Elephas maximus indicus: one gene and its partner. The protein of the gene in region 1 interacts with the protein of each later gene in a pairwise test. Links are inferred from orthologs where the notes say so. Each region holds a gene or a part of one and is shown in the gene's direction. Other genes may lie near its edges.

Region 1 (9,805 bases):
AACATCATTAGTCATTGTTGTTGTTGGGTGCTGTTGTATCAATTCCAACTCACAGCAACTATGTGTGAATAGAACTGCCCCATATGGTTTTCTTGGTTGTAATCTTAATGGAAGCAGGCTGCCAGATCTTTCTCCTATGGAGTGGCTGAGTGGGTTCAAGTCACCAACTTCACCATTGTGCCACCAGAGCTCCTTTCATTAGTCATCAGAGTAATGCAAATAAAACCACAATGAGCTACCATTTCACAACCACTAGGATGGCTATACTAAAAAAAGATGAACAAGAAGAACTGTTGGGGAGGGTGTGGAGAAATTGGAGTTCTCATATTCTGTTAGTGGGAATGTAAAATGGTGCAGTCACTTTGGAAAACCGTCTGGCAGTTTCTCCATGGTGCAATGAATTACATAATATGGCCCTTCTACCCATGGTCTTTGCGACTCACACACAATGATTGGGTGGAACTATGCAAACAATGTGTATGGAACCTATGAGCATTGGAGGCACGTGTCAACTTAGCTAGGCTATGATTTCCAGTATTGTGTGATTGTCCTCCATCTTATGTATTGTGGACTGTGACCTCTACATGCTGATGAGGCAGGATTGATGTGGGTGTGTCTTGGGTCCCAGCCTCACAGGAGGGCATGACTCAAGTCCCACCCGTACTCAAGTTATGCCCTTCCCTGGGGTGTGGCTTGCATCTAAGGTATATATGTGGATGCCCTAACTGGGCTCTGTTTCTTTGCATCTGGATCCGTGTCTGGTTTGTGATCATCTAACCTCTAGTTCTTGGGACTTGAGCCAGAGGCCTGCTGTCTGACCTGCCGATTCTGGGATTCACTGGCCTCCACAGCCCTGTGGGCTGACGGCCTGTCTTCTGACCTGATTCACCAGCTTCTGCAGCCTCGTGAACCAGCAGCCTGTGGTATGAACTGCCAGTTTGGATTCATCAGCCCCTGTAGCCACGTGGGTCAAGAGAAGACTACAACTGGCCCGTGGATTTGGAGCTCACCAGCCTCCACAACTGCATGAGTCATTTCGTTGATACAGTTTGTGAGTTCTGTGAGACGTTGCAGTGAATTTTGGAGCCCAAAGATGGGAGGGAGAGCACTGAGGGGAGGAGGAGTAGTTGATCTTAGAAATGATGGAGTGGTATAGCAGTTTGGAAAAGTTGAACATTTGGGACATCTTTAACCTCTGCCTCATAGGAACCAGGAACCAGCTATATGCTGACCCTTATAAAAGAAATTATTCATTCACCCTCAAAAAGTTAAACGTAGAGTTACCATATTGTTGTTGTGGGCAGTCGATTCCAAGTCATAGAGATCATATATGACATAGTGGATCTGGCTCAAGAGCTTCCTAGGCTGTAATCTTTATGGGAGTAGATCACCAGGTCTCTTCTCCCATGGAACGGCTGGTGGGTTCAAATCTGTGACATTTCATTTAGCAGCCAAACATTTAACCATTATGAGTTACATATGAAACAAAAATTCCACTCTTAGGTATATACCCAAAACATAAAAATATATGACATACATAAATTTGTACACAAATGTTCATACAGCATTATTCAAAATAGCTAAAAAATAGAAAAAAACAAAAATGTCCATCAATTGATGAATGGATAAACAAAATCTGGCATAGCCACACAATGGAATATTCTTTCACCATGAAAAGGAATGAAGTGACTCAAAATGGCTCAGTGATCTAAATGTAAGAACTAAAACCGTAAAACTCTTAGAAGAAAACATAAGGGTAAAACTACAGGACTAGTTTTTGACAATGGATTCTTAGATATGATACCAAAAGCACAAAAGACAAAAAAATGAATTGGACTTCAAAAAATTAAAAAAAATTGTGCATCAAAGGACTTTATCAACCAAGTAGAAAGAGTTATATAATGGGAGAAAATATTTGGTAAATATGTATCCTATAAATGTTTAATATCCTGAATATTTAATGAACTACTACCACTCAAAAACCAAAAGACAAACAACTCAATTAAAAAATGGGCAAAGGACTGGAACAGACATTTCACCTGGAAAGGTATACAAATGACCAATAAGCACATTAAAAAATGTGCAATGTCATTAGTCATTGTTTTTGTTAGGTGCCGTTGAGTCAGTTCCAACTCATAGAGACCCTGTGCACAACAGACGGAAACACTGCCCTGTCCTGAGCCATCCTTACAATCGTTGCTATGCTTGAGCTCATTGTTGCAGCCACTGTGTCAATCCACCTCGTTGAGGGTCTTCCTCTTTTCTGCTGACCCTGTACTCTGCTAAGCATGATGTCCTTCTCCAGGGACTGATCCCTCCTGACAACCATTAGTCATTAGGAAATCAAAACCACAAAGAAATATCACTTCAGATGCTAGGATGGCTATTATCAGAAAATGACAAGCATTGGCAAGGAAGTGGGAAAATTGGAATCTCATCCATTGTTGGTGCTAATGTACAATGGAGAAGCCTCTCTGGAAAACAGTCTGGCGGTGCCTCAAAAAGCTAAACATAGACTTACCATATGATCCAGCAATTGCATTCCTAGGTATTTACCTGAAAGACTTGAAAGGGATTCAAACAGATACATGTACACCAATGTTCATTGCAGCATTATTCACAATACGCAAAAGGTGGAAATGACCTAAATGTTCAAAAGATGAATGAATAAACAAAATGTGGTATTTCTATGCGATGGAATATTATTCCCCTATAAAGAGAAATGAAGTTCAGTTCTGAGACATGTTACAACATGGATGAACCTTGAAAATATGCTGAGTGAAATAATTCAGGCCCAAAAGGACAAACACTGTATGACCCCACTTTTATGAAATATAGGCAAATGCATAAAGGCAGAAGTCTGTTTACCAGGGGCTGGGCAAAGGAGGAAACGGAGTTATTGCTTAAAAGGTTCTGAGTTTCTGTTAAAGGTGGTGTTAGAAAAATTGGACTGTATCAAAATTAATTTGGACATGGAAATGCGTAGTGGTGGTGGTTGCACAACACGGTGAATGTAATTAATATTCCTGGGTTGTACATACTTAAATGGTTAAAACGACAAGTATCTTGTTACACATATTCCACCACAATAAAGAAATTAAAATGGGGGTTAAAAAAAAAAAGGGAATGAAGAACTGATATGTGCTACAACATGGATGAACTTTGAAAACATAATGGTCTGTAAAAGAAGCTAGATACAAAAGATCGTATACTATATGGTTCCATTTATATAAAATGTAGAGAAAAGGCACATCCATAAAGACAGAAAGTAGATTAGTGGTTACCAGGAAGAAGGTGGGGAAGAATGAAGAGTGACTGCTAATGAGTGTGGCGGTTCTTTTTGGAGCGATGAAAATGTTCTGGAATGAGAATCTGTGATGATACCACAACTTTGTGAACGTACTAAAAACTATTAAATTGTATACTTTAAATGGGTGAATTGTATGTATGGTGAGTTGTAAAAGTAATCCTGTTAAAATTAATTTCATGCTTTCCCTGATAATCACAACTCATAGCTTTCATCCTTCAGAAAAAAAAATTTATATAGTGGGATTGATGCAACTCGTCAGTATTTACAGGTCCTTATCCCTGGTGACCTAGTGGTTAAGAGCTACCGCTGCCAACCAAAAGGACGACAGTTCAAATCCACCAGGCGTTCCTTGGAAACTCTACGGGGCTGTTCTACTATGTCCTATAGGGTCACTATGAGTCGGAATCGACTCAGCGGCAATGGGTTTTTTTCTTGGGTATAGCAACAAAGTAAGCAATAAGCCTCAGTAAACAAGGGTCACCTTCAAAGCAAGCTACAGGCCAATGATGAATTTTCAAGCTGCAAGGAATAAGGATCTAAATGAAAGTTCCCAATTCCTTACCTTTCACTTCTCTATAAATTCTTCCTCCTCAAATTACATAAATTTCCATTTCTAGAGCATTAGATAATCTTTCAAACTTGCCACAAGCATACTAAATTTTCCGTGGGTCCAATTGAAATTTTGTCATCTCGTTTGAGAAATAACTTACATTCCATAACTAATTGATCCGCATTTAACATGTTGATGCAGGTCTCCAACTGCCCCAAACCTGGTATCATGTCCTTTAAGGGGAAATTTTATTAGAGCACATAATCCAAGTCTGCAGCAGTTGAAGGATGTCACACTAGTATAAGTGTCACACATCACTCTGATGAGGCAATTTCCCAAACCTATTTTAGTAAAAATCCAGTTTATTTGATTATTCCAACTCTTCTAACCTGGATTGGTATCGTGACTGGTGAAGGAGCTAGATCCATGCTACCTGTGATTTTAGTAGGAGTTATGTGACAGAGCAAGACCAGAGGAAAGTCAAAGATTAGGCTGCAAGAATGAATCCTTCCTAATCCTTGGTTAACCGGTGCTAACAGAACAAATGCTAATCAGAGTCATTAACGGGTTGATTGATTGGATAAGTATTCATTGTGCACCTGTCCCGTGCAATGGCAGCACAACGAGGGACTAGCCATAGGGGCCGCGAAGGAAGAAACGTCTGCCTTCCATTGTATCTTTTAATTGCTTTTCCTCCTTTATTACATTCATGATCCTATTTGTTACAAATATTAAATTCTTTCCACAAGAGAGGCTATACTGAGTAAGCGCCCATATTCTTGTTCCCAAGGAAGATACTGCAAAATTTAGATCATCTCGCTATGAGTCGGAACGGACTCGACGGCACTGGGTTGGGTATGCAATTGGAAGGGAGAATTCGTCAGAGAACAAAGTCTTATTCGTGACGAAGCGCAATCGTTTCCAGGGCCCTCAGATGCCCATGCTGAATTCAGAATTTCCACGCCGACGGCTCCCACGTCGCACCCTGGAGACAGACAGGGCCAGGGAAAGACCCGCGTTCCGCACAGAAAGAACCTCAAGTCCCAGAATCCCACGGGAACTCCAAATCCCAGAATCCTGCACCCAAATCTACCCCGAATCCCCAGCGGCCGACTGCCGACGCGACCAAGTTGGAAGCTGGGAGGATACACTGCAGCTTTTGTTCTTTACCATTTTTCTTGCAGGGAAAAGGCTTTTTACAGAGCTATAGTTACCCTATTTTTCTTGTCTTCTTAATTACAGCTCCGAAGATAGGCCCCCTCCCGGCGAATTTGGCGTGATGACAAGCCCTCACTTTTTCCTCTCCCCCCTTTCTCTGGCCTCCGTAAGAATGGTTCAGCCCGGCACTGGGGCTCCGGAGTTGGATCGACGGTTGCGCCCGCCCTATCCCGGAATGCGGGCCTTCGGAACGAGCGAGGTGGGAGGGGCGGAGGCGGGGAGGCTCCCTGGGCCGCGCCTGCCGTAGGGGCTGCGGCGGCGGCTGCCGGGGTGGGAGGAGCCGCGCGCTTCTGGCTGCCGACGCTAGGCGAGGCAACCCTCGGGTCGGCGCTGCGGGCGGGGAGAGCAGGTAGGCAGGCGAGGGGCCGCGACTCTCGAGAGGCTCGGGCGGCTGAGACCCGTACGGCGTCGGCGCCTCCTCCCGCCCCCTCGGCCCCGGGCGTTGAGGCTGGAGAGGGAGGAGATGCCGACCCAGAGGGACAGCAGCACCATGTCCCACCGGGTCGCAGGCGGCGGCGGCAGCGGGGACCATTCTCACCAGGTCCGGGTGAAAGCCTACTACCGCGGGTGAGTGACGTGCGGTGAGGGCAGGAGGGGAGGGGACAGGCCAGCTCGATTTGGCTTGGAGGTGGGGAGGGTGAGGGGCTGAAGGTGTGCTGGGCGGTTTGGGCTGAACGGACGGCTTCTGGGACTCTGGGTGGGTGACAGAGTGGTCGGGAGCGGGAGATGGGGGTGCGGGATTGGAGGCACCCCCAGATGTGGTGCCGGGGTCCTGGGGTGGGGGGCAGAGTAGGATCTGAGGGGGAGCCTTCTCTGAGATAAAGTGGACTTGGTGGGTGTTGGAGACTCACCCACTGAGAGATTCGTACGTAAGGCCTTACGTCAAATCTGGATGTGTTTTGGTTGAGAGTTGAGGATTCTGAGTAATGCCTCAGTTAAATCAGTTTGCTACGGCCTTAGAAGACAGGACTGCATCAGTTCAGCTGGCTCTTTCAATGATTATCGGCAGGCCTAAAGCACCTTGGTCTCTAAGCCAGGTTTATCTTCGTGAAGTGTGCCTGGACTGTGGTCGGGCTGCCAGTGTATCAGACACAGGAGTTATTATTTAAGAGTAAAGTTGATGGGTGTTCAAGGATGTGAATTAGGTACTTAGGTCTTGCCAAGATTAGTTCGCATATGTGTTAAGTAAAATTTTGTGAACCCCTTCTTGACATTGTTGATTCAAGGACCATCCTATAGGGCGAGCTATTGCAAGGTGAGAAGAGGACGAGCCTAGGCACAAGTCTTAAATTCTGTGATCTTTACTCATATCATTACCTAAATTATAACTCCTGTGGTTACCAGGAAGAACCCATCCCTAAAACCATTGTGTTAAATCATGTTCCATTATCAGTGACCCGAAGTGCCACCCTTCCTTTGAACTCAGTTGTGGTTTTGAAATTTCTTTGAGATAACTATGTTTAGAAGCATTAGAAAGTTGAAATGTTAGTGTGAGCGTAAAGAATTCAGACTAAGGGTTAACAGAAAACCCAGCTGCTTGTCCAGGCAGAAGTAAATTGCTTCAAAAACTCAAGCACTGAAAGAAAAAAAAAAAAAAAAAAGAGAAAAACCCTCAAGTACTACAAGATTGAAACTGCATTGCATACTTTCACATTCCTGAGAGGATCAGTGAAGATAGAAAAATCTCAAATTGCCTCTTTTGTTTTAATTTCGAAGAAAAAGAAGCTCCTAAATATTTTGTTGATTTGATGTCAGAACTTACTAGTTTGCTGCAATGAAGCCTGTGACCTCTATTTATTAGCTTGACTGTATTCAGGACTGTATAAGGTGTTATGTTGGACAATATATCTGTTTTTACTTTAATTGATCAAGGGGGTATTGATTTTAAAATAATACCAAGAAGTGTAAAAAGTTTGTGGTTGTCATAAGAGCTGTTTTAACTTGAGGGTGGTCAGCCATGTATTTTGCATTGTGGGAAAAGTTTTGCTTCCTTTACCTTATCTTTAATTTGATAGATAATTCACCGTAGAGTATGTTCCATTTTATGAAGTGGACAGTCCATGAATTGTTAAGTGCAAGGAATGAGATAATAGTACATGTTTTTTAAAAAAAATGAATAAAAAAGATGTTGATAATTGACAATTTTGAAAAACTAGGTAAAAAAAACAAAAACATGCAAATTGTACAGAAGTATAAAATAAAAAGTACTCCCCACCCCCCAACCCAGCATCCAAGGTAACTAACCACTGTTGACAGTTTATTCCTGGTTCTTTTGGAGGTTGCCTTTATTACTTTTTTTTTTATAACTTTTATTAAGCTTCAAGTGAACGTTTACAAATCCAATCAGTCTGTCACATATAAGTTTACATACATCTCACTCCCTACTCCCACTTGCTCTCCCCCTCTTGAGTCAGCCCTTTCAGTCTCTCCTTTCTTGACAATTTTGCCGGCTTCCCTCTCTCTCTATCCTCCCATCCCCCCTCCAGACAAGAGTTGCCAACACACTCTCAAGTGTCCACCTGATATAATTAGCTCACTCTTCATCAGCATCTCTCTCCCACCCGCTGACCACTCCCTTTCATGTCTGATGAGTTGTCTTCGGGGATGGTTCCTGTCCTGTGCCAACAGAAGGTCTGGGGACCATGGCCGCCGGGATTCCTCTAGTCTCAGTCAGACCATTAAGTATGGTCTTTTTATGAGAATTTGGGGTCTGTATCCCACTGATCTCCTGCTCCCTCAGGGGTCCTCTGATGTGCTCCCTGTCAGGGCAGTCATCGATTGTGGCCGGGCACCAACTAGTTCTTCTAGTCTCAGGATGATGTAGGTCTCTGGTTCATGTGGCCCTTTCTGTCTCTTGGGCTCTTAGTTGTCGTGTGGCCTTGGTGTTCTTCATTTTCCTTTGCTCCAGGTGGGTTGAGACCAATTGATGCATCTTAGACTGCCTTTATTACTTTTAAAAGTTAAATTCTGTTTCGTGGTATATCAACTTTAGAAAGCATCTATTGATTCCTTCCCCTGAAAGATGAGAAATAGGGTGCACACTACTTTCTGTTTCCCTACTCCCCCCCCCCAAAAAAAACAAACCCATTGCCCTTGAGTCGATTCCGATTCATTGTGACCCTATAGGACAGAGTAGAACTGCCCCATAGGGTTTCCAGGCAGCGCCTGGCAGATTCGAACTGCCAACCTTTGGTTAGCAGCCTGACTCTTAACCACTACGCCACCAGGGTTTCTCCTTTCTTCCCAGTGCCTCTCAATTTTTGGTTGTTAATTATCATACTCGTTCTGCTGGTTACCTTTATGACTTCAAATTATACAAATTCTTGACTTACTAACCTTACATAGTCTCCGGTGACTCCAACTATGAAAAATGGAATTAGTGCTTTTTCTTTTTTTGTTGTTTTATTAGTTTGACAAACATAAATAGGCCTAGTTAGTAAATCAAAGTGATTGTAAGCTTCTCTTTTAGAAAGAAGCCAAAGTCTTGCTGTACTCTAGGAACACAGGTATCTTATGTTGTCTTGGCTTGTTGCTCCAATAATTTAAAGGAGAGTATGAGGACATAATAATCTCTTTAGTGCTTTAACCTTTGAGGCGAGGAGGGAGGAAATTCTGGCCCAGTGGGACAGCAGAACCACGTGCTACCTGGTTGCAGGCAGCAGCAGCAGCATCAGGGACTGTTCTCCAAGACATTCAAGTTAACGTTTTGTTTTTTTTTTTAAACTTATGAATTTTTGCTAAGCAAAGACAAGAATTAACCCTCTCCCTTTAGTGCTTTTTATTCAATGAAAGCTTTCTAGTAGTGCCTTCATTTCAAGCTGCATTTAAAGACGACATCAACAGTTTCTAAATTGTATCAATTTTTGTCCTATGAAATTAGATCTGTTAAGATGATAGTTTATTAACAGTAGTCTAAACTGGCGGTTGTGATGTTACATGGTCAGCTGCTTATTACTACTGATGAAGTGACAATGAGTCACCAGCGAGTATAGGTTATGAACAGGTTGGCTAACTAGAACACCTTCTACATGATTTTAGAATAGAAGATCCCAGCTTTATACCAAGAAACGTAAGGACAATCTGCATTTGAAAAAGTTTTATTTTTTCTCAGATTTTCTGAATGGCCTTCCCCTTATCCCCTTCTAGCAATATTGCCTCCCAGTAGTTGCTGAATCTTGGAATAGCCAGAATTATTTAGTGAATTAATTGCCCTCTCCTTTCAAACATGTGTATGCTATTCTCATTCTGTTAAGTTTGACTTCAGCGAAAATGTGATGTCTTCCTAGATACAAGAGCTAACTGGAATTTTTTCTAGTTTTAAGCAGGACACTGATAGCAGTGAGAATCTGATTTGAGTGGAAGCCACCTAAGAGTAGCTGTCTCATGACATGTACTTCTCTTTCCCTCCCAGAGGATCTTCTCAGTGAGTCGCCGTCTTCAGTCATTACCAAGTGGTGTTAGTGTGGAGGAAGAGAAACAGGTTTTGTTACTTAGTGATAGATTGCCATTGTATGTACTTACCCTTATAAAAAAAAAGTTAGCTTGATATTGTGGGATAGAATTTAACAAGGAAACGTCTGGACTACTGATTTCTTTACATTATAAATGTATGGGAAAATTTGCAGAAAGCTTGGAAAAATGCTTTTTAAACCATTGGTGTTGATCAGTTGTAACAAGCCAGAGGATTCCTTCCATGAACATCTGGAAATAAGGTGTTGTTAATTCCT
Region 2 (10,456 bases), on another chromosome or scaffold:
ATGGTCAGGCAAAGAGAAGAAACACTTTTTTCTGCCCAAGAACTTACTATTCTTTGAGAGTTAAATATCTTACCTAACAGAAGCAGAGCCAAGCTGGAAGCAGAGGGCCATGGATACCCAAGTGCCAGAAACCTATAGGGCCAACTCCTGGTCCCAAGGCTCCAAGTGAAACATCATAAGCATCTATATTATTTTTACTGTGTGTTAGGCAATGTGACGAGTGCAATGTGACAAGTGCTCTTTGTAACCACATTTCTCTCCTAGAGTCCTCACAAAAAGCCTATTTTAGGGAGGAAGACATTGAGGGTGTAAATATTATCTAGATCGCAGCTGGGTAGGAGTAGAGCATTGATATCTTCCTGCGCTGTCCAGATCCACATGTTTTTAGCTGTCATACCACACTGCCTCCTAATTCTATCTGGTTCTGGCTGGGTCCTTTATTCATGCACCCCTGATATAAACCCTACATCACAGCCTCTCTGTTTGCTCCTAGTTGTGCACATGGATGGTGCCCACCAGGGTGCTAGAAGCCCCGCCCCATGTGTCTGGTGACGCTGGGGTTCTTTCTACTTTCTTTGCTCTAAGTTTCTTTGTTCCTTCCTCAAACAACCATCCTTTGCTCCCCACCGAAGGAGGAGCTGGTGGAGGGAAGGTGAAGCTCAAATATTATAATAGCAGCAAACACAGAGGTGCTTCCTGGTGTCAGGGGCTATTCTAAGCGCTCATACACTTGCACTCATTTAACCCTCATAACAGTCTTGTGAGGCTATTATTATTCTTATTACCTCCATTTTACAGATGAGGAAACCAAGGCAGAGAGGACGAGTAATGTGTCCAAACTCACACTCGAGTGATCAGAACCAGAGGGTCTGGTGCTCCTGACCAGCAAACTCCGACCATACCTGGCCCATTCCACCAAGACGTTTTGGTTCCAGCAGTCTCTGACATTTGGCTGTGTCCCTGGCCCAGGTTCTGTCGTTGTTGTTGTTAGGTGCTGTCAAGTCGATTCTGACTCATAGCGACCCTATGTACAAAAGAATGAAACACTGTCTGGTCCTGAGCCACCCTCACAATCGTTGCTATGTTTGAGTCCATTGTTGCAGCCACTGGGTCAATCCATCTCATTGAGGGTCTTCCTCTTTTTTGCTGACTCTATCCTTTACCAAGGATGATGTAGCAGAAAGTCTCACCATCCTCATTTCTAAGGAGGATTCTGGCTGTACTTCTTCCAAGATAGATTTGTTTATTCTTTTGGCAGTCCATGGTATATTCAGTATTCTTTGCCAACACCACAATTCAAAGGCATTGATTCTTCTTCTGTCTTCCTTACTCATTATCCAACTTTCCCATGCATATAAGGCAACTGAAAATACCATGGCTTCGGTCAGGTGCACTTTAGTCCTCAAGGTGACATCTTTGCTTTTTAAGACTTTAAAGAGGTCTTTTGCAGGAGATTTGCCCAATGCAATACATTCTAGGATCAGGTTCTAGGATTCCCATAATAAATCCCCTTACAACCCAAATGGCTCTAACTAACCTACTTGGGCAAGTGCAAAGTTAGAAAACAGTCCATGAGACAATCCTCACCTCTGACACCACCTGTACATTGAAGGTCCCCAAGCCCACAGCCATCTGTGGTCTCTGTCTCCCTTGCTGGGAGAAAGGACAGTACTTGTTGACATTTTGCGCCTCGGAGGGAGCAAAATGAACATGTTAACTTTATCTGAAAAATTATTTCTAAAGCCTCTTCTAATGTAACCGGCTATGAGCCTATGACAAACTGAAGATAAAATGGGAGCATGTCGGGGAGAGGAAGCAGTAGCGGCCAAGCTGGAGAATGGGGAGAGGGTACAACTTGAAAAAGGAGATGACAGCAAGTAGGCTGGAAAAAGGAAGAACATGTAGACCTCCCCTAAGCCCCCTCCTTCACTTCAAGCACAGACTTTGACCTAGCTCTGTTGATGACCAAGCTCAAAGAGATATCAGTACTCTGCTTTTAAAACATAAAAAGTCTTGTGCACCCTGGGCAAAGCCCAAGTGCCAACTAATATCTATAGAAGGGAAGAAAAAGGATAGATTATTTCTTCTATTTATCCTTTTACTCTGAATGTGCATCTGTTCATTTTTGTGTGTTGCTAGGTGTTAGCATTTGAAAATGTTGGCTAAGCTTGCTCTCTGATTTGAAAGTCAAGAAAGTGTCATTTATTTTTGACCCAAACTAGATTGTTTATTTGACGTTTAAACAGAAGACCATTCCTGTGATGGTTAAGATTCTGTGTCAACTTGGCTGGGCCATGATTCTCAGTGTTTTTATGTGATCACTTCCATGATGGGATGTGCTGTGAGTAGCCAATCAGTTGAAAGGGAGTTTCCTTGGGTGTGTGGTCTGCATTCAAATATAAGCAGATGTTCTGGCTCTTTTGCTTGCTCTGGATCCTACAGCTGGCTCCTGTTCATCAGACCTCCTGTTCTTGGGACTTGAGCTAGCAGCTTACCTGCTGAACTTGGGATTTCTCAATCTTCACAGCCTGTGAGCAAGAGCCCTGCTTTCTGACCTGCTGATCTTGGGTTCGCCATCCCCTGCAGCTGCGTGAATCAGGAGAAGCCTCTATCCTGATCCACAGGCTTGGGACATTCCAGCCTCTACAACCACAAGCAGTTTCTTTGATATAAATCTCTCTCTCTCTCCATATATATATTTATACACTTTACTGGTTTTGTTTCTCTAGAGAACCCAGCCTAAGACAATTCCCAACTGTACTTCTTCCCCATTGCTCAATATTAAAACTTGTTCATGTTTACAAATGAACATGTCTAGTACACAGTAAGAAGTAGTGGTCAAAAACAGGGGGTTCAGGATATAGAAAAGGCTATGTTTAAATCCTGGTTCTGTAGCTTGTTAGCTGTGTGACCTTAAGTGAATTATTTACTATCTCGAAGCTTCAAATTTTCCTTTGGTAAAATGGGGATGATAATTGTAGTATAATTGTAGTATTGTTGCAAAATATGTAGAACACTCATATGGATTAAGTTGTGTCACCCAAAAAGATGATATTAAAGTCCTAACCCCTGATACTTGCGAATGTGATTTTGTTTAGGAATAGGGTCTTTGAAGATGTTACCAGTTAAGTTAGCATGAGGTCATACTGAAATAGGGTGGACTCTAATGCAACCCGAATGGTGTCCTAGGAAAGAGAAGAGACACAGAGGCAGGATGGCCATGTGAACACACAGGCAGAGATGGAGTTATGCAGCAGCTGCAAGCCAAGGAATGCCTGGAGCTACTAGGAAGAAAGGATCTTTCCCTAGAGCCTTGAGAAAGAACATGGCCCTGTCGACACCCTGAATTTACCTTCTATTTTCTCTGCTTTGAGCTGCTGAGATTCAACTGTGTGTGGAAGACACTTGGCATCAGCCCCTTCCCAGCACATGCCCATGTGCAAAGGTGGATTGCTTAAAGGTCATTTTGGACATTTGGAGAATGTATTGACCCTATTGCTTGGCGATGTGGAATCTGTTGCTGACTGGGCTCTTTCTCCAAAGGTTTTCTCCCATTCCTAAACCCTTGAGCTTGCTGGTCCACCCCTCCCCAACCTAGAATGCTGCTCATCCCTCCTCTCAATCCCTTGTCCCTCTCTCTTTAAAATATCTGACTCCTGACCATCTCCTCCTACTCATGACAAAACAATGTTGTTCACACTAACTGGTAGCTGGCAGCCAGCAATAAATCTATGATTTTCTTTAAGACCAAAGACCCACATTCAGTTTAGGAAATTTCCCTTTGAAAGACAAGTCAGTTTGTTCTGTTTCAGCTGCTAAGTGTGTATCTCTTGGCACTTGTTGTGTGCTTACTTACTTCTTCATGTGGGCCTTATTTCAGAACTCTGTCTGGTCCCCTGGCCAGTCTCTTATTTTCTTTTAAGGGCAGGGATTGTAACTCTGTGACTTTGTAATCATAGTCCCTGGCATGTAATAGGGTAATTATTAGTGAAATGAAACGAAAATTAAATTTTGGAGACTGCATTTTGGCAATCTGCATTAAAAGCTTTAGAACTGTGTGTACTCTATGGCCTAGAAATTCCATTTTTTGCAATCAAGTCTAAAGATACAATCACAAATAAGTGTATTCAAGAAAAAAAGTACTATATAAGAGAAAAACATTGGAAACATCTTAAATATCCCATAATAAGTCATAATTAAAAATTATGCTTATATTTATCTGTGTAACTTTTAAAAAATAATGTTTTCTAAGAATTTTTAATGAAATTTTCCTTAACATTAGGTGAAAAAAGCAAGTTGTAAAACTGGATAAACACAATGATCACAATTTTGTAAATTATATAAATATGCATGTAGGAAAATCAACTGAAATAAAATGTATCAAAAGGTTAGGTGTGTTACAGAGAACCCGTGAGGGAGCAGGAGAGCAGTGGGATGCAGACCTCAAATTTTCGTAAGAAGACCAGACTTAATGGTCTGACTGAGATTAGAAGCACCCCGGCGGTCATGGTCCCCAGACCTTCTGTTAACCCAAGACAGGAACCACTCCCAAAGCCAACTCTTCAGAAAGGGATTAGACTGGACAATGGGATAGCAAATGATACTGGTGAAGAATGAGCTTCTTGGACCAAGTAGACACATGAGACTATGTTGGTATCTCCTGTCTGGAGCAGAGATGAGAGGGCGGGGGGGGGGGGTGGTCAGAAGCTGGCCAAATGGACAGGAAAATAGAGAGTGGAGGGAAGGAGTGTGCTGTCTCATTAGGGAGAGAGCAGTTAGGAGTATTTAGCAAGGCGTATATAAATTTTTGTATGAGAGACTGACTTAATTTGTAAACTTTCACTTAAAGCACAATAAAAATAAGGTTAGGTGCATTGATTGTTGAATGGTGTGATTCTGAGTGATTTTAACAGTTTTCTTTCATTTCTTTATATTCTCCAGATTTCTTTTACAATGAACTTATACTAAATGTATAACTTATAATAGTATATATAACTTTAAAATTATAATTTATTTTATACATTATAATTAATAATAAAAAAAACTGTTACGTCTTCTTAGTTCATCATAAAGTCCTGAAGGACAGGGACTGTATCTTTGGTTTTGTAGACAGCCCCTTTTCCAGGGGCTTCTGATTAATAAGCACCCCAGCGAAGTTGCTAACAACCGGTGCCATCTTTCTCCTAAAATGTTCTTTTCTTCTAAGGGCTGCCTTTGGAAAAAAAAAAAAAAAAAAAAAACTTCTCATCAGGCCTAGAGTGCTCTGACTCTTCCTTATCTCGTTTAATTTGACCTGTGCTTGGCTGTTCCTTAGGAGTTTGCCTCCCTGCAGACCCCCCTCGAAGACTACCTACAATTGGGCAACTGGTATATACAGGTGAATACCAGTGTAATCAAGCCTCCTGTGGTTTTCATTAGCATTACTCTCTTAAATAATTACCGGAGACAATGCCAGAAACCAGTCCCCTTCCCAGGCTGTCTGTGGAGGCCAAACAGAACCTTGGCTGGGCGAGCCGGGGCACGAAGGAAGCGAGGCGGCCCGGGCGGGTCGGTGAGAGCACGGTTGGAGGATGACTAGGTTTCCTTTCCCGCCCGCGGAGAGCCCCTGACGAGGGCCGCCAAGCGGCATCTTCGGGGCGGGGCCGCGGAGGACGGGGCGTGGGGCGTGGCCTCTGGTGGGCGGGACAAGGGCGGGGCCTCGGGCGCGGGGAGGTGGGGCAGTGCGCGCCGGCGTCCCCGTTCCTCCCGCGCGCGTTCTCCGGTGTCCCGGAGGCGCGCGGCCAGCCCCGCTCGGCCCCGCCACACAGGGAGTCCGCGGGGCGCGAGGCAGTCGGACCCGGACAGCGGCCGGGGCGCACGGCAAGGAAGCGGAGTCGTGGGGTACAGGCGTGGCGGGTAGGGTCGCGGCTCCCAGAGCCCTTCTGCAGACCCTGCGGAGCGAGGGCGACGACGAGGCAGCCCGGGGCCGAAACCATGAACCGGAGTTTCCACAAGTCTCAGACCCTGCGCTTCTACGACTGCAGCGCCGTGGAAGTCAAAAGCAAGGTTAGCGCGGAGGGGTCTGCCCGGCCGGGGGCTTTGCACCCCCTTCAAATGAATGGGGAGGACGCGGAGGGGCCTGACAAAGTGGGAGGGAGAGGCGCCGGCAACAACTTTCCGAGCTCGTGCACTGCCCGCCCCTCGGCGCGGGGCCGCGCGGGGCCGCGGGATGCACAGGGGTCTGGCTGTTTGCGGGCCCCGCAGACAAAGCCGGCGCCCAGGATGGTCAGCTCGGAGCCGGCGCGGCCGGAGGGCCGAGGGCCAGCGGGAGCAGCTTGCGCGGGGCCGGAGCGCTCTGCCAAAACTGCTCTTTTGTTCAGCCAGCTGAGGGGCGACCCGGGCGCTCTGCACGTTCGTAGGGAGGGCGGCGTTTCCTGGGCGAACCGGGGCCGTGGGCTGCTCGGGGTCGGGCTTCTTAGAAAGGGCCCTGGCCGCGCCGCCTCCTTCGCGTTGCGGAGGAGACTCCTTACCAGCGATGAGGCCGGCCGCGAGCGTCCTGAGTGGGACCGCCGGACTAGACTCCAGTTCCAGCACCCAGTCCGGACTGAATACCCCCGCCCCACCCTCCAGTTCCCTGGTGTCCTGGACCCTCTGATTCCCAAGTCTCCCGGGCCCTCTGGTCCCCCTGGCGCGCCCCCTGGCTCCCGAGTTCGGCCCCTAACTCACCACCTGGCTCCCAAACCCTGGGTCTGGCTCCAGGCACCCCCTGGACTGGACCCCTCAGGCCCCCAGCCCAGCCCTCCAGTCCCGCGTTTACCCCGGCCGGTCCCCAGGCCCTGCACCTCCAGACGCCCGCGCCCGGCCCGAGCGTGCCCGAACCTGCGGGTGATCGGGTGTGTGTGGGGACGATTGTCTGATAGGATCAGGCGAATGTGCCCTTTGCGGGGGCGGCTCCCCTACCGCGCCTTCGCCGCAGAAGAAGGTCTCAGTCGTGGACCCGCAGGCCAAGGAGCAGCCTCAGCCTTTAGGGTCCGGAGGAGGGGGTGCTCGGCCTTGGAATGATTGCTGCCCAAGAGGAGCTCTCTTGCACCCTTTTCTGCACCACCTTCCTTCTCTGTAAAGGGGTGGGCCGCGGAAGGTGGGCTCGAGACCTCGCTCCGCGCCCACCTGGGGCCCAGCCTCTGGGGAGATGTCTGTGGAACCCGGGAGGCGAGTCCAGCGGTACCCCTCCCCTGGCTGCCCAGACCCACCGAGGGGTCTCTAGGGGCAGAACAGGCGGGGCTGTTTTTCGACCCCTTACTTTCTCATTAGGAGACCCTGCCCTTCCCCCACGCTAACTCTAACTCTGGCCACATTCCCTCTTCTGCCCAGGAGTGCCCACCGAAATCAAATGTCCTCTTTGGGTTATGTAAGGGGGAGGAAACTGCGAGCATGAGTGGGAGGCAAAAATAACCGTCCAGTTTCCTTAATTTGGTCAAATGTAACTTTCTAGAGATGCACCGTCCAGCACAATAGCCACGCGTGGTATCTACTTTTTTAAAAGTTTTTATTTTGATATAATTGTAGATTGACAAGAAGTTTTAAGAAATAATAAGGATCCCCTTTTTAATGGTAACACCGCGCACAGCTACCGCGCAGCATCGGACCCAAGAAGTTGGTGTGGATGCACTCCCCTGACCTCATTCTTCTCACCAGCTGGATGCACACATATGTGTGAGAGTGAATGTGTATGGTGTGTGTGACTGCGTGATAGTGTATATGTGTGAATGTGTGTGTGAGTATAAGCATGTGAGTGTGTATATGAGTATGTGTGACAGTGTGAGTGTGTGGTGTGTGTGAGTGTGTGCTTGTGTGTGTGCAAAGTGTGAATGCATGGAAATTGTGTGATTAAGTGCCTGTGGTATATGTGAGTATGTATATATGTAAGAATGTGTGTGAGAGCATGTGAGCGTATGTTCCACAGTGTGTGAGCGTGTGGTATGTGAGAGTGTGTATATGTGTAAGCATGGGTGAGTGTGTCGTGTGAGGGTATGTGTGTGAGAGCATGTGTGTGTATGAGTGGAACAGTGTGAGGGAGCATTGTGATTGTGTGTATAAGTGTATGTATGTGAGAGAATATGTATGTGGGAGTGTGTGTCCGTGTGTGTGGTGTGAGAGTGTGTGTGACTGTGGGGCTCTGAGTGTGTGTGTATTTAGTCCTATGCAGTTTTTTTTTATCATATGTGTAGTCTTGTGTGACTACCAGTGCGGTCTTTTTACAGTGGCTTCTTAATTTCATTAAAATTAAAAACTCAGTCCCTGTGTAGCACTGGCCACAGACAGCATGGCTGAAGAGGACCAGAGGCACAAATCAGGCCTGGATCCCCTGGGGGAAGTCCGCCTGGGAGAGGGTTAGGGCTGCTGCCTTTGCTCCAGGCAGCGAGGAGCCTGCCTCAGGCCACTGTGTCTCAGGGAGCAGCTGCCTGACTCCCTCTGCTCTGCCCAGGTGAGGGCACTCTGCAAGGCCCACATGGCCTGGGCCTGTGGCCAGCTGGCTCGCTGGACACTGCCCCCCGCCCCCCCAGCAGGCTTTCAGATGATGGCCGGAACTTATTGTTTGTTCAGAGAGGCCCAGGCTCTTCCCTCTGGACACCCTCCCACAGACCGACTTTGTAGTTGGTAGTCGTTAGCACAAGAGATGTTTGAACCTATTTTGAAGAATAATAAGAAAAATTGTTTGCACCAGGCTTGGGCATTGGCGCAGCTCGGCAGGAGCCTGTTTCTACTCCATGCATTTGTGTCAAAATAGAGCAAAACTTGATGGAAAACCTGTCTTTACTCAGCCTCCTGCAGCACCATACAACTTGGGCTTTTACATGGGGAGAATGGTGGTGAGGAGCTGGGCCCAGGCAAGGCCCGCCCTGCTCTCTTCTCGAACTTCCAGGCTCTTCCGAGTCTCAGTTGTTTAGTCTGTAAAACAGCGCTATACCTGTTCTGCGTGCCTCCCAGAGCCAAACAAGCTGATGAATGTGAAGACATTCCCCACGTTGTAAGAGAGTTAAGAGCTGTGGGTCAGGATCCTGTGGTGTTTCGGGGTGTTGGGTCTGCAGACCTCCTCCAACCCTCTCAGAATTCTTGACATTGGCCATACCCTACAACTGGTCAGCTCCCAATGGCCTGGGGACAGGGTCCAGGTGTGCAGCAGGGGTGGGGCATGAACTTGACTTGGTGACTCCCTCCCCTTCCCCAGAGACCTCAGCTTTTGCACCAGTAGTTCTCTGTGCCCCAGGCCAGCTGTTTGTACTTTTGGTTGTGGTAATTAGGCCGAATTTTGCCACTTACCTTTGGCTTGTGCCTCTCCTCACAGAAGACCTGAAGGTGGGGAGGGAGGCAGATACAAAGACATCTGGGTGGGGCGGGGGGGAGGGAGACACATTTCAGACCAGGGAGATAGAGAGCGACACGATGCCCTTAGGAATTGAGTAGTGCCTTTAACTGCATCTGTATTTGTCAGCCCCACTGGCATCTGCGCATCCTGCAAGACTGAAGGGAAGCATTCATCTCATCTGCGTGCGATGCTCTGTGCGAGGGTTGCTGTGTCTCCACCCCACCCACTCACCCTGGCTGGAGGCCCCTGTATTACCTGTCTGAGTTATATATTCCCAGGCTCCTTCCAACTCAGACATTGATTACCAGCTACTCATGTTCTCCATCCCTGAGCTAATGGCTGAAGCCCATGTTTTTTCTGACCTGCGTGCCTCTGGTTTTGTTGCTTCCCCGTCTGCTTTGTCTAAAAATCTACCCTACTTTGATGACCTCTTAAAGTGCTTTCTCTTCTACAGAGATTCCTGATTCCACCACCAGTGCCCCCCCTACTTCATCTGACCCTTTCTCATATTTCTGTATCTCTTGTGGCACGGGATAGAACTCTGGCTTAGACGTTATTTTTCCTAAGCAACTATTATATAACTATACACTGTAAGCCCTTTTTAAGGAAGGGATGGTGTTTACACCTCATAAGTCTACAGTAGCCACTGTATTTGGGAGAGAACAACTCCATTGAAGTTTTTAATCCAGTTTTTGCTTCTTTGTTTAAATAACATTGGGGGCTTTTTTGGATTATATAAAGCGCATTGTTGCTGTAGAAAATTTAGAACCTATAGCCAAGCACAGAGAGGAGTAAAAGCCATTGGTTAATGGTCCCATCCAAGGTGAACCACTGTTAGCATGTTGCTCAATGTCCTTCTGGTATTTTTTGTACCCATGTGTACATACATACATTTTCGTCTTCTAGCATTAACATTTCTAGCATTTCGTCTTCTACTCTGTCCTATAGGGTCGCTATGAGTCGGAATGGACTTGACGGGAGTGGGGTTTCTTTTTAGCATTAGGATAATATTTTATAGGCACAGTATTTTGTAGACTGCCTCCCCTCCAGTTTAAGAATGTTTTGCACATGTTTCTCATGTCATTAATATTTTTAGAAATGTTTTTTAAA

The links.
Region 2: the proteins of PRKCI (region 1) and PARD6G interact in binary tests that used the Homo sapiens proteins (3 or more experiments, as listed by UniProt). The link is inferred for Elephas maximus indicus from reciprocal best matches to the Homo sapiens genes PRKCI and PARD6G.

The regions. Positions count from the first base shown.
Region 1 is NC_064841.1:30,473,432-30,483,236, reverse strand, and holds the start of PRKCI (protein kinase C iota type), read left to right. Parts: upstream 1-5,285; 5' UTR 5,286-5,541; coding exon 5,542-5,645; intron 5,646-9,805.
Region 2 is NC_064829.1:87,056,460-87,066,915, reverse strand, and holds the start of PARD6G (partitioning defective 6 homolog gamma), read left to right. Parts: upstream 1-5,878; 5' UTR 5,879-5,973; coding exon 5,974-6,045; intron 6,046-10,456. UniProt on the Homo sapiens protein: Adapter protein involved in asymmetrical cell division and cell polarization processes. May play a role in the formation of epithelial tight junctions. The PARD6-PARD3 complex links GTP-bound Rho small GTPases to atypical protein kinase C proteins.